4 linked regions of the Ovis aries genome follow. The protein of the gene in region 1 interacts with the protein of each later gene in a pairwise test. Links are inferred from orthologs where the notes say so. Each region holds a gene or a part of one and is shown in the gene's direction. Other genes may lie near its edges.

What was found.
Region 2: the proteins of ESR1 (region 1) and TRAM1 interact in a two-hybrid assay, tested with the Homo sapiens proteins (2 studies listed by BioGRID). The link is inferred for Ovis aries from reciprocal best matches to the Homo sapiens genes ESR1 and TRAM1.
Region 3: the proteins of ESR1 (region 1) and PNRC2 interact in a two-hybrid assay, tested with the Homo sapiens proteins (2 studies listed by BioGRID and IntAct). The link is inferred for Ovis aries from reciprocal best matches to the Homo sapiens genes ESR1 and PNRC2.
Region 4: the proteins of ESR1 (region 1) and MED25 interact in a two-hybrid assay, tested with the Homo sapiens proteins (2 studies listed by BioGRID). The link is inferred for Ovis aries from reciprocal best matches to the Homo sapiens genes ESR1 and MED25.

Annotation. Positions count from the first base shown.
Region 1 is NC_056061.1:76,487,666-76,491,785, forward strand, and holds the start of ESR1 (estrogen receptor), read left to right. Parts: upstream 1-1,264; 5' UTR 1,265-1,363; intron 1,364-4,120.
Region 2 is NC_056062.1:47,245,917-47,249,478, reverse strand, and holds part of TRAM1 (translocating chain-associated membrane protein 1), read left to right. Parts: intron 1-1,224; coding exon 1,225-1,295; intron 1,296-1,523; coding exon 1,524-1,628; intron 1,629-2,433; coding exon 2,434-2,577; intron 2,578-3,471; coding exon 3,472-3,562. UniProt on the Homo sapiens protein: Involved in the translocation of nascent protein chains into or through the endoplasmic reticulum (ER) membrane by facilitating the proper chain positioning at the SEC61 channel.
Region 3 is NC_056055.1:242,693,154-242,697,507, reverse strand, and holds the start of PNRC2 (proline-rich nuclear receptor coactivator 2), read left to right. Parts: upstream 1-1,535; 5' UTR 1,536-1,705; intron 1,706-2,465; 5' UTR 2,466-2,671; intron 2,672-3,386; 5' UTR 3,387-3,404; coding exon 3,405-3,824; 3' UTR 3,825-4,354. UniProt on the Homo sapiens protein: Involved in nonsense-mediated mRNA decay (NMD) by acting as a bridge between the mRNA decapping complex and the NMD machinery. May act by targeting the NMD machinery to the P-body and recruiting the decapping machinery to aberrant mRNAs.
Region 4 is NC_056067.1:55,910,230-55,914,504, forward strand, and holds the start of MED25 (mediator of RNA polymerase II transcription subunit 25), read left to right. Parts: upstream 1-1,465; 5' UTR 1,466-1,560; coding exon 1,561-1,694; intron 1,695-1,787; coding exon 1,788-1,833; intron 1,834-2,303; coding exon 2,304-2,428; intron 2,429-4,275. UniProt on the Homo sapiens protein: Component of the Mediator complex, a coactivator involved in the regulated transcription of nearly all RNA polymerase II-dependent genes.

The DNA of each region.
Region 1 (4,120 bases):
TGCAGTCCATGGGGTCGCAAAGAATCGGACATGACTGAGCGACTGAACTGAACTGAACTGTCCTGCTCTATGTGGAAATTAATCTCAGACAATTTGCATATTCAAATTACTTTACAGGCTAACTCGCAAGTGTAGAGAAGATGGAAGGCAATCCTGTGTGTGCATGTGTGTGTATTCAGTCATGTCTGATTTTTTTGTGACCCCATGGATAGTAGCCCACCAGACTCCTCTGTCCATGGGATTTACCAGGTAAGAATACTGGAATGGGTTTCCATATCCCTCTCCAGGGGATCTTCCTGATCCAGGGATCAAACTCCTGCATTGGCAGGCAGATTCTTTACCACTGAACCACATGAGGATGACCATTAAGAGCCTTTATTTTCAAAATGTTTTCAAGCATGGGCTATGAGGATTTTGATTTTCTTTCCTAAGCTGATTTTGAGATGCATGGGTTGCCCTACAGATGTCAACATGCACTTGGGGATTCTAGAAGGCCTAGGAACAAGACAGACCTCTCTTACCTGTCCTCCACCATCCTCACTTGCAGAAAACCAGCCTCCTTCAGATTTGAGTAGAAAAAGCTAACGTGCTTTTAAAAGATCCTTTAAAATACATATTACGTGGGCAAATGAAAAAGTAAACATCCCTCAAACTCTTAAATGGCTGGACGAAAAGCCAGATGGGCCATGGGACGATCAGATGGCAGAGGAACGGCTTCAGAGGCAGAGAGAAGTTAACCTCAGCAGGACACTGAAGTCAAGAACCTAACTGATCAGGGACCAGCAGTGCAAAGCTGTCAAGCCAATGTTGAATGAGAAAGTTACCAAAATGCTCACTGAACATGCATCCTTATTCCTGCTCTGAGCTGTAACAAAATTTATGTGCCCAGTGAATGTTTGATTATTATTTTTCCAACCCCAAATGCCTGTCTAGACTTTAACCTTTATTAGTAGTGAAGAGAAAGTGAGCTGGTATTCATAAAAAAAGAAAAAATATTCAGGCAGATTAACAGATGACTTATACCCTTGTGAAATGTCTGTCTTGACCCAAGTGGTAGGACAGTGAGAATCAGGCCTGGTGTGGAGAAAGAAAGGCCACCCCCTCCTCTATTTTGTACAGAAGACTTTTCCACTCCTAGTCAAATGGTGGTGCTAGTTCTTTAGTTTTGAGTTTTCTGCATTTCCTAATTTCATGGTCATAACAGCCGCTTGTCTACTGCCTCAGAACGGATTTCACCAAAACTGAAAATAAAGGCTCCATGCTCAGAAGTTCCTTAACGGACTCGAAAGGTTAATGTTCCTTTCCCTTGCCCTTCTATAGCGTAAGAAGACAGTCTTTCAGTGACATTCTCCTCCTCAAGCAGGTACTCCTATTTCTTCTTCTCAGCATATATGTATATATATACTTTTTTCTTTTTGTTATATGTGCTACTATTTACAAATGTGATGTAACTTTACAGCTTCCCTCTCCTGTGAAAAGATGTTCATTTTTCTCTTAATGCTCCAGGGATATTTTGCAAAGTTGCTGGCAAGCATTAGTATGACGTTGAAATGTTAAGTCTAAACTTGGTACAGTGAAAAATCCACTTTTCAAATAATATTCAGCTGAGTCAGAGGGCAACCCGACTACCCTTTGCTTAGCACTGCACTGACAGGCTGTCTGCTTGCTCCAGATAACGCCTATTTATTTGATCCAGCTCTAGCTAGGAGGTTTTGGATTATTGAAATGTGGCAGAATTTCAAGAATTATTAATTGGACTGATCACGGGCTAGCATGAACACACTACCTGTTTTCATCATCTCTGGGTGCCGTAACTTCTGTGAGTTGAAACTGAGCAATCTGAATAAGCCATTACTTGTTTCCTGAAGGCAGTCAAGTTTTCTGAAAAGCTACGCCATCTAGCAGTCCAAAAGTCAGCCACCCTGTCTTTAAATTGCCCTGTGATTTCAGGGCAAGTTCTCTTGGGTCTTTCTGCCTCAGTTTGCTCTCCTGTGGAAGAAAGCTCCTGGACACTTTTTACAGGGGGTTGGTGTGTACATAAGTGTCTCCCCGCACCGCAGAGTGCTACTTAAATAATGATGTGGCAGTCACAAAAGACAGGGCAGCGTACTTTCATTTTGGTTAGAGGCATGCCACAGGGTTCAGGAAATGCGCAGTACGTTCTAAGTTCTGTGCTGTGCTAAGAGGGTAACCAGTCTTCGCTCTCTCAGACATGCCCATAGTAGCCAACATAATCAAAAAAAAAAAAAAAATCTTAACGTAAGGATTGAGCTTTATCAGGACTTGGGATCATGGCACTGATTTCTGTTCAAAGAAGCCAGATTTTTTATTGGCTTTCTGGGCCAGATATAACAGACTTGCAAAGTAACTCCATGCACAAGATTGCTGGGAAACTCACCTGGTTTTGAATATTATACACACACACACACACACACACACACACACATATATGTTTGTTTATCTCACTTCTATGATGTATATATGGTGTATATATTAATGTTGAAAGTGAATTTATGAATATGAGGTTGCAGTGTTTGAATTTTATCTTAAAATACCCCGAGAGACGAAATGAAATTAGATGAATACTTATGAGATGTAGGCTTCAGAACCTGTTTCTACTCTATATAAGCCTTTCCTATTTCTCCAAAGCAAATGTTTGCTCCAATTTTGTTAACATCCTATGAAGATTGCCCACTAGGATTTAATGCACGTGACTATACTATTCTAGTGGTTAGATATAACACTGTACAGGGTATTAGGTTTCAAATAAATTGGGAATAAAAATAACATAATCCTTAGAGACAACAACATGGAGGGAAAAAAAGCAAAAATTTTGAATATGAATGTAAGTGCCTTATTTCCTAGCTGGATATTTTTTCTTAGACTCTTGGAGATATTTGTTTTGTTTTATGGCAATGACAGTTGAGGAAAGGGATTAAAGCTTATGTTCTCAAAATTGCAGCAAGAACGAAGTCAAACAGTTATCTTTCATTTCAATTAACTCTGTATCTTTCATTCAGCTTAGGATTTAGAGTTATCGAATCTCTTCCTTTCTGCTAACACCCACTCTCAACCTCTATACGATGTAAATATTTGCACTGCAGTTCTGCTAAACATTCTCATCTGGTTTTCTGTGGCTTCTCTCAGTATTTGTCCATATTCATTTAGTCCGGTTGATCAGTACAACCGCCAAGACTCAGGGCCTGGTGCCTAGGGTTTAGTTTGCCCAAAACAGAGAACAGAACTTGTTCATGGTTGCAGGTTGTACAAAGATTAGTAGGCAAGAATAGAGTGACCCCCAGCTCTGAGTAAATTATCGATATTGGTTGTAAAATATTCATAGCTTAAGTTTCCCTCATAGCGGTTGAGAAATGGTCCTGCCCATTCATGTCCATCATGGCTGTGTCTGTCCTTAATCCCACTGTTGCGCTCCCTGCACAGAGTGTAATCCACTGCTAGTTTTAGAGCAAGGTACTTGTATGTGTTAGTTGCTCAATCGTATCCGACACTTTGTGACCCCATGGACTGTAGCCCGCCAGGCTCCTCTGTCCATGGGATTCTCCAGGCAAGAATATTGGAGTGGATTGCCATACCCTTCTCCAGAGGATCTTCCCAATGCAGGGACTGAACCCTGGTCTCCTGCACTGTAGGAAGATTCTTTACCATTTGAGCTATAGGGAAGTCTTAGCAGGTGGCTTTTGATGAAGGTGATGGTGAGGAAGGTGATCTTGCCTTCTAGGCACCAATTCAGTTGACTCCCTCTGGTTTATTTCCACTGGACCCTGACAAAACCTTGCACATCAGTGAGTTTATGATTCTTTCTAAGGAGTGTAAATTTTTTTTCTTTCTCACTCTGAGACAGAGTCAGGATGCCGAGGCTTGCGTTATCCCTGTGTGCATGCTAAGTTGCTTCAGTTGTGTCCAACTCTATGAGACTCTATGGACTGTGGCCCACCAGGCTCCTCTGTCCATGGGATTCTCCAGGCAAGAATATTTGAGTAGGTTGCCATGCCTTTCCTCAGGGATCTTCCTGGCTCAGGGATTGAACCCGCATCTCTTAATATCTCCTGCATTGGCAGGCAGATTCTCTACCACTAGCGCCACCTAGGAAGATCCTTGC
Region 2 (3,562 bases), on another chromosome or scaffold:
CAGTTTGCTGATATCAACCATATTGTAATCATTTTAATTAGAGCTGCAGTACATGAATAGTACTAGCCAGGCTAGTAGAACCATATATGTGGTAAATCGCCAAAAAACAGAGTAGGAATGAGTGGTACAGGCATTTCCTAAATTAACGAGTGTTTATAGGGCCTGCTGTTCATTTTTTGCAAACATTTTTGACTGTAACCTAAGGTGAGAAACTATAGAGTTTACATTATAATTCTGTGTGTGTGTGTACTGCTGCTGCTGCTACTTCAGTCGTGTCCGACTCTGTGCCACCCCATAGACGACAGCCCACCAGGCTCCCCCCGTGCCTGGGATTCTCAAGGCAAGAACACTGGAGTGGGTTGCCATTTCCTTCTGCAATGCATGAAAGTGAAAAGTGAAAGTGAAGTCTCTCAGTCGTGTCCGACTCTTAGCGACCCCATGGACTGTAGCCCACCAGGCTCCTCCATCCATGGGACTTTCCAGGCAAGAGTACTGGAGTGGGGTGCCGTTGCCTTCTCCGTGTGTGTAAAATCTGGAATAAAGCTTTCATGAAACAATATAATATGCTGTACACTCTAGCCTTTTTAAACATTATATTTCATATTTCAAAAGATGTTAGGGTGACCCCCAAATTAATTTTATGAGTCACTTGACTTAAAACATCTTTGAAAACCACTATTTCTAAGATAACCAAGTCACTAAGAACTATGGGGGGCTGGTGGTGAGGGGAAAGCAAAAGTGAAGTCTGAATACCTGACTTACAGGGTTATTAAGAGGAGAAAGAATATACAAGTAGGTGGTATCCTAAGTGAGAAGATAAATTTTAACCTTTGGTGTTAATGACTTGACTGACAGTGAAATGAAAGGGACTAAAAAACATAAATACTATTTGGGTAAACAAAAGAATCTCTGCTGGTATAAACATAGTAGTTTTAATATTAGAAGGACATAATGGTTATTAAGATTGTGTCATCTAATATTTATTATAAAAAGAACCGCTCAGTACTAAAAGGGATTTGGAATTCATCTGATTCAAGGAAACCCAGGTGTTATTCACATTTCCAGATGAGTAGATGAAGCCAAGAGAGGGTAAAGGACTGGCCAGTTGGAGTGGGTGCCGGGCAGAGTGCCCTTCAGGTCTTCTGTGACAGTACATTTTCACACTACTTCTCCAAACAACTACTTCCCCCAGTTTTAACCTGTTGTGCAATTTTCTGTTTACAGGAAGATATTCCTCGTCAGCTCGTCTACATCGGCCTTTACCTCTTTCACATTGCTGGAGCTTATCTTTTAAAGTGAGTTGGGATTTTTCTTGGGTGTGCTTGTGGACTGGGCAGATAATATGCTGCTGCTGCTGCTGCTGCTGCTAAGTCACTTCAGTCGTGTCCGACTCTGTGCGACCCCATAGATGGCAGCCCACCAGGCTCCCCCGTCCCTGGGATTCTCCAGGCAAGAACACTGGAGTGGGTACTCTGTCTTAATTCGTAATTAATCTTTTCATTTTAAATGTGTTCTTTTAACAGCTTGAATCATCTAGGACTTGTGCTTTTGGTGCTACACTATTTTGTTGAGTTTCTTTTCCACATTTCCCGCCTATTTTACTTTAGTGATGAAAAGTATCAGAAAGGGTGAGTCTTTCAACCATTCTGTTTCTTGTGTAAAGTCAGTGCCTGTGTTGCAAAGGACCATGCTATTGCCAAGGTCCATGCTATGGGCAATAATGTTGCTTTAGAAGCTACTTTAAATAAAATGACACTTTTTAACAATTGAAGTTGGTATTTTGTACTCTAAAATAGTCTTTCTTAGCTTGAGAGATAGTATATTGGAACTTGCAGTTTTGAAGGTTGGGGGTTTGCTTTTCTCACACAACTTTTCCTATCTTGTTTAGTGCACATTCTTCTTTTGGAGAAGGAATAATGAGGAAAAGTGAGCTTTCAGAAGAAATTGAAATAGTAGATTATAGAACCTTAAAGATACAAAAATATTTTGATGGGAAAATTAAACTTGGATAGCATTGAAGTAATATGTATTGTAAAGAGCCTTGCAGGGAGAAAAAGTGAAGCGAGGCCTCTCATGAGAATTGAATACATGGCCTTTGTTTTTATTCAGCCTTTTCCAGAATTGTTCTATATACCAGTAGTTGTGAGAATCATTAATAGTTGTCAAACGCATACACAGAAAATCAGCTAAATGGGAAAAAAATCAAATATTTCTTTAACTGAACTTCAAGAACCTGAAATATGCTCATATGTTATACAATCTCCAAGAATGTGATATAATATGAAGCATTTCCCTAGCATTTTATTTCAGAATCCTTTTTGCAGAACTGTAAGAAATGCTGTTTTAATACACATTTACCTAACAGGAATCTGATTTCTACTCGAATCTTATCTTTGCAATTTTGTGAATCTGACTTTGACATTTTTTTCACAGATTTTCTCTGTGGGCAGTTCTGTTTGTTTTGGGAAGACTTCTGACTTTAATTCTCTCGGTACTCACTGTTGGCTTTGGCCTGGCAAGAGCAGAGAACCAGAAGCTGGATTTCAGTACTGGAAACTTCAATGTGTTAGCTGTTAGGTAGGGTTGATTTAACATTTTTCTTACCTTGCCCTACAATGTAGTATGTATTATCAATTTAAAATATGAATTGTCTAAAATATAAAGGTATAATTATGAGAGGTAGGGGAAAATACTCATTTGATTTGATTTCATACCTATTGTAATTTCATGTATAAATTAAAGTATCAATACTAAAGCATTTAGATACAAATAAACTTACAAAATAGAGACTCACAGACTTAGAAAAGGAACTTATGGTTACCATGGGGAGGGGATAATTAGGGAGTTGGGGATGGGCATTGTACACTCTGCTGTATTTTAAATGGATAACCAACAAGGGCCTACTGTATAGCACAGGGAACTCTGCTTAATGTTCTGTGCCAGCCTGGCTTGGGAGAAGGATTTGAGGGAGAATGGATACATGTATATGTATGACTGTGTCCCTTTTCTGTTCACCTGAAACTACCACATTTTAATTGGCTATACCCCAATAAAAAGTTTGAAAAAAAATTACAAAAGCATTTATTTAACTTCAGGGGCTAATTACTGTGCTCAGTCACTTTAGTCATGTCCAACTCTTTGTGACCCTGTAGACTATAGCTAGCCAGGCTCCTCTGTCCATGGCATTCTCCAGGCAAGAATACTGAAGTGAGTTGCCATGCCCTCCTCCAAGGGATCTTCCCAACCCAGGGATCGAACCTGGATCTCTTGTATCTCCTTCATTGGCAGGTGGATTCTTTACCACTAAGCCACCTGGGGTTATTAGTGGGGTAATTATTCATTAATATAATCCTTGTCAATATAGTGGGAATTTAGTGCTAAGTTAATACTGTCAAAGCAAGAGAGACTACTTTATTCAATGGCATTGCTTGGGTACACATTAATTTTCTGTTTATTTCTTTGTATTCTCAGAATTGCTGTTCTGGCGTCCATTTGCATTACCCAAGCGTTCATGATGTGGAAGTTCATTAATTTTCAGCTTCGAAGGTGGAGAGAACATTCT
Region 3 (4,354 bases), on another chromosome or scaffold:
TATAGTCCATGGACTTCTCCAGGCCAGAATCCTGGAGTGGGTAGCCTATTCCTTCTCCAGCAGTCCTTCCCAACCCAGGGATTGAATCCAGGTCTTCCGCATTGCAGGCAGATTCTTTACAAACTGAACCCCCAGGGAAGCCCAAACCACTATATTAAAAAAAATATTGCAATGGTCTTTTTAAAATACTGCTTAGCTGTAATCTAGCCGCATGTCTAAGTCAGTTTCTTAAGTTTTTAGGTAACAGATTACACTTTCAGTGAGGTAGCAGTTCCTTATTATATACATCTTATTTGACTATAATGCTTAGCAGCTGAAAGTCCCACGCTCAGAAATATCTCTTCTACTCTACACATTTCACCAAATTAATTTGATTAACAAACTCTTTTAAAATGGTTTTCTTAAGAAACTTAAGGTCCATGGGTAGAACAACATAGGAGTGGGGGATGATGGTAGCAGAAAAACTCAAGATTAAAAAACGAATTATGTGGGACTTACACAAAGTACACGTAAATCTTGTAACAAAAATGTTAATATGTTTGTAGAAACTGGTGTTCTCCTTTACAACGCCAGCTTTGGGTTGCTTATCCATTTACTCCAAAGAAGCTGCCCTTCTTCTCTTCCTGGCGCCTTGGTGGCACAATCAACCCCCTTTCACTTACAGACGGAGCCGAAAGGGGGAAATGAGAGAGCTCCATTTTCTCAAACTTTTCTCGGGCACTTAGCATGTGCACTTAGCCTGTGCTCTGGGCTCAAACGAGTGACTGGGTGGACAAGTAGCTACACTACAGTGTGACTCAAGTTCAGGACAAAAGAGGAACTGATTAACTCGATCCGCACAAGTGTCGGAAACGTCTTCACAGAGGAGACCACTTCTCAAGAATTTCGAGGCTGCGGGCAGGGAGGACAGGAGGGAACCACAAGCTGGGGGAGGGGCAAAGCAATTTCCTTGACAGGGGAACACAGTGTCAGGACCAAGTGGCCAAGGGTCGGCCTCGGGAAGCAACTTGGTGGAGCATCTTGCATCGTAAGAGACTGGTTACACGGCTAGGTGAACTTAACTCGGGAACTCAAAGCCCCCTTCGGTGACGCCCCACGGCAGGGAACCATCGGGTTCCAAGGGCCGCGGGACCCGCGAACCGGGCAGCCCCGGTGTAAGCCGCGATCCGGGGGAGCCGCTCACGTCCCTTCCCCGGCGCCGGACGCGCGCGCGGCTCGGAGTCGCCGTGAGGGGTTGGCGCTGACTGCGTCCTTGGGTACCGAGCCTGGCCGGGCGGGCGCCTCCCGGGAGAGGACAGTGTCACCCGGGCGCCCGCAGAGGGCCGGCCACCGGGACCGCGGCGGTTATTCCCGACATGCTCCTCTCGGGGAGGATTTCAAACCTTCGGCCACAGCCAACTCCCCTCCCTCGGCCCCGTCGGGCCCCAGCAACAGGCGGTGGCCCGCGTATCATTGGCCGGGTCGCGCGAAAGCGTGTTTTGATTGGCCGCAGCGCCTCCCGGCCCCGCTTCAGCGCTCGCCGCCGCCTCCATTTTGTCGGTAGAGACAGGAGGAGGAGGTCGGTTGAGACGTTGAGGTGGCCAGCCGCTCGCTCGTCGGTGCTCGTGGGCTTCGCCCGTTCCGTGCCTCGTCTCTCCCTGGAAGGGGAGGGGGGCTTCGAAGCCGAGCAGAAGCCGCCGCCGCCGCAGTCCCGGGCTTGAAGTCGGTGAGTGGCGGCGGCGCGACGGGTGCGGCCATGTTGGCGGCGGCGCTCCCTATTGTTGGGGGAAGGAGGCGAGATCCGAGGCTGGGGGGGCGCGGGCGGCCCGGAGGAGCGGGTTCCCGGGCCGGGCTCGAGGGACGCGGAGCGCCTGGGAAGCCCAACCTCGTTGCGGAAGACCCGAACTTTCCGGGCTCGCTTTGGGAATGACTCAGGGTCTGGAAACTTAAATTTCTTTAGGGCGTTGAAACAGTCTGGAAGGGCCTCTCACCCTTTCGATAAGAGCTTCTTGCTTGGTAACTTGGCTTCTTGGACTATCAAGTGGAATCGCAGATGTTTAATGTTTATAATAGTGATTGTTTTATGTATTTAAGATGGGAAACTGCTTGTTATGGCTTGTGAAACTTATTTTAAAACGGGGAGGAGTCAAGAGTTCATAACCAAAGGAAGCGCTGCGTGACGTAAACATGTTGGGAGAGGAGGCTCTGCTAAAACAGATACGTGATGTGTCTAAAGATTGTAAAATTCTGGTGGGACTTTAAAACACGGTCTTTAGGAAACAAATTTCTTAGCACATTTCTTAGCATGACTGTAGAGGCTAACGTTTCCATGGTTTTACAACATTTTGGTCACTAAATCCATGTGAGACATTATTTTCTGCCTTTTTGTTAAGTAGCCATTCTTTAAATTTTTTCTGGAGTAAATATAAACGATCACTTTCTCTGTTTTTTTAATTGAAATAATGAAGAAATCGTTGCTTTTGTAGCTAAGACTTCTCTCAAACTTGTGTGCTGAGGAGACTCAGATGTTGGCCTCAGCTCCTAGGCTGAACTCAGCAGATCGGCCCATGAAAACTTCTGTATTGAGACAAAGGAAAGGATCTGTCAGAAAGCAACATCTATTATCCTGGGCGTGGCAGCAAGGAAGAGGACAGGTAGTGGAAATCCTGCAATCGGAAAAGCAGACTGAAAGGTATTAAAAACTTACGGTTGTAATGGGGCAGACATTTTATGATGGACTCATTCTAAACCAGGATCTTCCCTGGTGGCTCAGACGGTAAAGCGTCTGCCTACAATGCTGGAGACCTGGGTTCAATCCCTAGGTCGGGAAGGTCTCCTGGAGAAGGAAATGGCAACCCATTCCAGTATTCTAGCCTGGAAAATCCCATGGACGGAGCAACCTGGTTAGGCTACAGTCCATGGGGTCACAAAGAGTCAGACACGACTGAGCGACTTCACTCACTCATTCTAAACTAGAGCTTCCCAGGGGACTCCATGATAAAGAATCCACCCGCCAATGCAGGAGGCCCGGGTTAGATCCCTGGGTCAGGAAGATCGCCTGGTGGAGGGAATGGAAACCCACTCCAGTGTTCTTTGCTGGAGAATTCCATGGACCGACAAGCCTGGCAGGCTTTTCCCATGGGATTGGAAAAGGTCGGATATGACTGAGCATGCACACGGGCACATCCTAAACAAATTGTTTTTAAATGCAGTATTATTTAGATTTGTTGGTAGACTCATTTTTTTCTTAGGAAGGTAATAAAGGCTGTACAAGTGTGAACGTATAGTAAAGCTAAAGCAGCTGAATAGCACATACGTGAGTCTTCTTCGAGATATTTGGAGTTGCAAATTGGGGCCACTGAAGTTTTGTACTGGAATTTCACTCAGTATTTTGTTTCCACTCACAGGTGACAAAGAAGCTGAAGATGGGTGGTGGAGAGAGGTATAACATTCCAGCCCCTCAAACTAGAAATGTTAGTAAGAACCAACAACAGCTTAGTAGACAGAAGACCAAGGATCAGAATTCCCAGATGAAGATTGTTCACAAGAAAAAGGAAAGAGGACATACTTATAATTCGTCATCAGCTGCATGGCAGGCCATGCAAAATGGGGGGAAGAACAAAAATTTTCCAAACAATCAAAACTGGAACTCTAGCTTATCAAGTCCCACCTTACTTTTTAAGTCTCAAACTAATCAGAACTATGCCGGGGCCAAGTTTAGTGAGCCACCATCACCAAGTGTTCTTCCTAAACCACCAAGCCACTGGGTTCCTGTCTCCTTTAATCCTTCTGATAAAGAAATAATGACATTTCAACTTAAAACCTTACTTAAAGTACAGGTATAAAATGAGATAAAGTACTAACATTTAAGCTTAGTCATATTTAAGGATAACTGGCAATTGTTTCAGACCAAATTCACTAGGGAATTAATCTGTAAAACTGATTAACATAGAAAATATAATTAGACTTCATCTTGTTTTATGTGCACTGTGATGGTAGGAATCAGTACAGTTTAAAATAACTGAATTATGGATAATTGTATTTGATCTCTTCACTAGTATTCTCAATTGAGTAACCATATAAGTGAAACCATTCAAGTTTAGATTTGGGGAATGGTAAAGGAATCAACTTTTTATATTGCTTGTTGGGGGAAAATACTGGAGATTATCATTTCATGGGTCAGCAGATTGACTTATTAAGATATGGTAAATCTGATTATAATCATCCAGTTAAAGACATACAGGGGTTGAAAACTATTTGAATCTTTGAGACGTTATTGTCCTAGAGACACCTGAATCAGTACACCTAAACCAGTAGTATGACAACCTGATGCACTGCCTAAAGAAAATGTGAAAAAAAATTTTTTTAAGAGAAT
Region 4 (4,275 bases), on another chromosome or scaffold:
AGAAGGGATCTGCTTTAGATTTAAAGGAATTTTAAGATGTCTAAACACAGGTTCAGTCATTGTTGGATCTTGATGCAAATAAAACAATTGTAAAAAGACATTTTGTGAGAACTGGGAAAATTTGATTATGGATTTAAGTGTTCGACAATACCAAGAAGTAAGAATTTTGTTAGAGATGTTAATGGCATAGTGGTTACCTGCAACTTTGGGGAGATGCCTATCCAGCAGGTAGAGGTAAAATGATACGATGTTGGGATTTGCTTTACAAGCGTTCAGCAAAGAAAATAAAAGGATCAATAAAGTACATGAGACAAAACAGTGATACTGCTGAGTGCAAAGCAATGCACCCTTTTACCTTGAAATATATTGACAAACTGCATTGGAGCAAGCTGTTTTGGTTTTCATCTCCACTAGATCACGTCTGAGCCTGCTCATTTCACCCAAACCTTCCCACCGTCATGGACTTATTTTTCCAGCATTAATTAACATGACAAAGATAAACTGACTTATCATTGGACCCTGTGTTAGCACTTACTAACTTGTGCATATGAGCGACTTTCAGTATGTTTTTGCGTACAGGAAAAACCTGCTTAGTTTCCTCCCCAATTAAAAAAAAAAAGTATTTCTGTTTTCCTAAGTTTGTATTGATCAGTAATACGTATTTGGGTAGTAAATTTCTGTCAACACATGTTACAGTGACTTCCGCAGTTTACCGTATCGTTTTCAGCTTGGTTTATGAAGTCTTCTGCGGACAAACAGCTCAATATTTTCCGTGCTCTGGCTTTGCTGTAATGATAAGAAACTCTTCCCCAGTCTTCAGGATTATACAGTGTTATGGTTTCATTTGTTATATTTACATTTTTAATCCACCTGGAATGTATTCATGTTCTAGGCCAGTTTCTGGCTCTTCTCCCAGAAAACAACTATCAGGTGTTGCTTAGCAACCTCCACTCGGGTTAGAGTTCGGCTTCTTTTAGTGGGGAAAAAACAGCTGCACTCCTTTCAGAGTTGATTGCCACCTTAAAGCGTTGCCTAGTAACCCCGTTTTAGACGTTGTGATTGGACCCTTCACACGACCCACCCACCCCCATCCCCCAAGAACCAGTAAGAACTTAACTAGAAACCTAATCTGTCTTTTTAGGAAAACAAGGGCAGCGTATGCGTTGCATAGCAACCAGGTCTCCCGGCCCTTCCATTGAAACCGGTGTCGGAAAGGTCGCCCCCCCCTCAAAAATGGCGTCTGACGCGCCGCTTTCAGTATATTTCGCCCTCGAAAGTTCTGCAAATAATTCAAGCTTCCACCTCTGGTCCCCGAAGGAGTTCTCTAGGTCCTTTTTGAGTCTTGCACACACTGGGAGCGAAGGAGGATGGAGATAAACCCACCCGCCCCGGGCGCCCCGCACAAACATGGCCGCCAGCGCGCCGCCAGCGCCGAGAGGCCGTCCCGCGCGGGGGCGCGCGCGGCGCAGGCGCACTTCCGCTCAGCCCGCGGTGTCTGAGGCGGCGGCGGCAGCGGCGGTGGCGGCGGTGGCGGCGACGGCGGCATCTGCGGCGCGGGGCATGGTCCCCGGGTCGGAGGGCCCGGCCCGCGCCGGGGGCCTCGTGGCTGACGTGGTGTTTGTAATTGAGGGCACGGCCAATCTGGGGCCCTACTTCGAGGGGCTCCGCAAGCACTACCTGCTCCCGGCCATAGAGTGAGTGCCGTTTCCGCGGCCCCAACCCCGCCCTCCGAGTTTAGTTTTCCACACTCTCTCCTCACCCCGACCTTTCACTTCCGACCCTCACAGGTATTTTAATGGCGGCCCTCCTGCCGAGACGGACTTCGGCGGAGACGTGAGTCTTGGAACTCTCGAGTTTGAGGGAAGATGGGAGTCCGGACTGGGTCTGCGGGAGGAGGGGGCGGTACCTGAACCCTGGGCCCGAGGTGGGAGGGCTCGGGTCCGGACTCCGGGGTCGGAGGCGGGAGGGGCTGGGGTTTGGACACCTGGGTCCGAGGGGCTGGGGTCGGGATTTGCGGGTCCGAGCGGGGAGGAGCTGGGGTCTGGACTCTGGTTTCCAGGAGAATGGGGCTCGGGTTCTGGGGCTGAGGGAGGAGGGACTGGGGTCCGGACTAATGGGTCCGAGAGGGGAGGAGGCTCAGGTCTTGGGTCCGAGGCGGGAAGGGCTCGGGTCCTGGGTCTGAGGTGGGAGTACCGGGGTCCGGACCCCCGGGTCCGAGGGAGGAGGGGCTGGGAGCTCCGATTCCCCTGAGGGAAAAAGGAGCTGGGTCCCAGATGAAAAGTTCTCCTGTCCTCCCCTCCCAGTATGGGGGCACCCAGTACAGCCTCGTGGTGTTCAACACGGTGGACTGCGCTCCAGAGTCCTACGTACAATGTCACGCTCCCACCAGCAGCGCCTATGAGTTTGTCACCTGGCTCGATGGCATTAAGTGAGCTCTTTTCTCGGCTTCCGGAAGGGTTGGGGGAACCTGGGAGGGACGGCAGAGGAATGGTGCTGCCGGATCCAGCCCCTCACATTGGTTGCTAAAAAGGGCTGCGATGGGGGTTGTGGTTTTGTCCCTAGGTCACTTCAGTGGTCGGTTCTGTATGCTCAGCTGGTGTTGCTGTCTGGCTTGGAAGTAGAAAGAATTTCCTGGTCAAGGAGGCCTGGGGAAGTCCAGCACCCGTCCTACTCCTCATATATTATTCTCCTTTCTGTCTGTTGCTTCTCTTGTCTACTCTAGCCCTTCTTTTTCCTACTAGGGGCACTGAAGCTTGAGCGCAAGAGGGGTGGGGCTAAGCCTCTGTGCTTTGGAGTCAATGTTGATAGTTCACACTGCAGGTGCAGACAGCCTGGGGCCACTTTTCAGCTCTACCACAACAGGACTGCCAGACCCACGAGTCCCTGTCCTCTGTGTCTAATAGAACTCATCTCTAAAAGGGGAACGGTAATAGTACTTATAGTCATCCTGTTACTTATCCAGTGTTGGGAAAACAGATTAAAGCTTAGTGACTTGGAAATTCTCTGATGGTCCAGCAGTTGGGACTCTGTGCTTCCACTGCAAGGGACATGGGTCTGATCCTTGGTGGGGAAACTAAGATCCCACATGCTGAGGGGCACAGCCAAAAAAAAAAAAAAAAATTAATTTAGTGGCTTGTTTCCTTAAGTAAGGAATTCAGGGGTGGCTTTGATGGATGGTTCTCACTCACGGTCTCTTGTGGGATTTCAGTCAGATGAGCTGGGACCGCAGTCATCCAACTGTTGGATCGGGACCAGAGGATCCATTTCCAAGGTGGCTAACCCTGTGGCTGTTGGCCAGAGGCCAACTTGCTAGCTGTTCCTTGCTAGCTGTTATTCCTAAGATATCTCTCCATGGGGCTGCTTGAGTGTCCTCCCAACATGGCAGTTGGCCTTCCTCAGCCTGAGCAATCCAACAGAAAGAGCAGAAGGAGACTACAAAGATTTTTATAATCAAATCTTAGAAGTCACACCATCATTTGTGTCACATTCTGTTTAGTATACAAGTCAGTTCTGTTCAGTGTTGGAGGGGGCATGAATACCAGGAGATGGTGCTCAGTGGAGATCTAGTTCCGGTGACACTATAGGGGACTTTGGGAATCAAACGAGTTGATGACTGTTGAGAACAGTGCCTGACACGATTAAGCGCTCCCTCAGCTTTTGCTGTTCTTTTGTGTTTTGGTTTCTTGGTCTGCAGAGGGATAACGGTAGTCCATATCAGCACTCAGAGAAGGGTCACAGAAGCTAATCTTCATACTGTGTTCAGCTCAGGGTCTGGTCAGAGTCCATTAAACAACCGGATTCGTGGGCTGCTGTTATCTGCAGCAAATGTTTGTTGAACACTTGGTTTGTTTCAGGCTTCACGTGCTAGACCAGGCACTGCACATTCACTTTCCCCCCTTATGGTTGTTAGAATTCATGGTCAGGGCAGAGCAGGGTTTCTCAACCTCAGCACTGTTGACCCTTTGGGCCAGATGATTATTGTATGTGTGTTGTGGAGGGGTGGGGGGCATTCCTGTGTGTTGTAAGGAGTTCAGTAGCATCCTTGGCTCCTTCCCCCCCAATGCCAGTGGTCTCCTCCCTCCCCAGTGTGATAAACAATAAAAACAAAGATGTCTCCAGACATTGTCAGATGTCCCTTTGGGGACAGAATCCGCCCCAGTCGAGAACCTCTGGAACAGATTGTGGTGAGACTTGAATAATGTGGAATGGGGGCTCCTTGAGGTTCAAGTCCAAGTCTGATGTCCCTCAAGTTTCTAGCACCCAGCACAGGGCCTG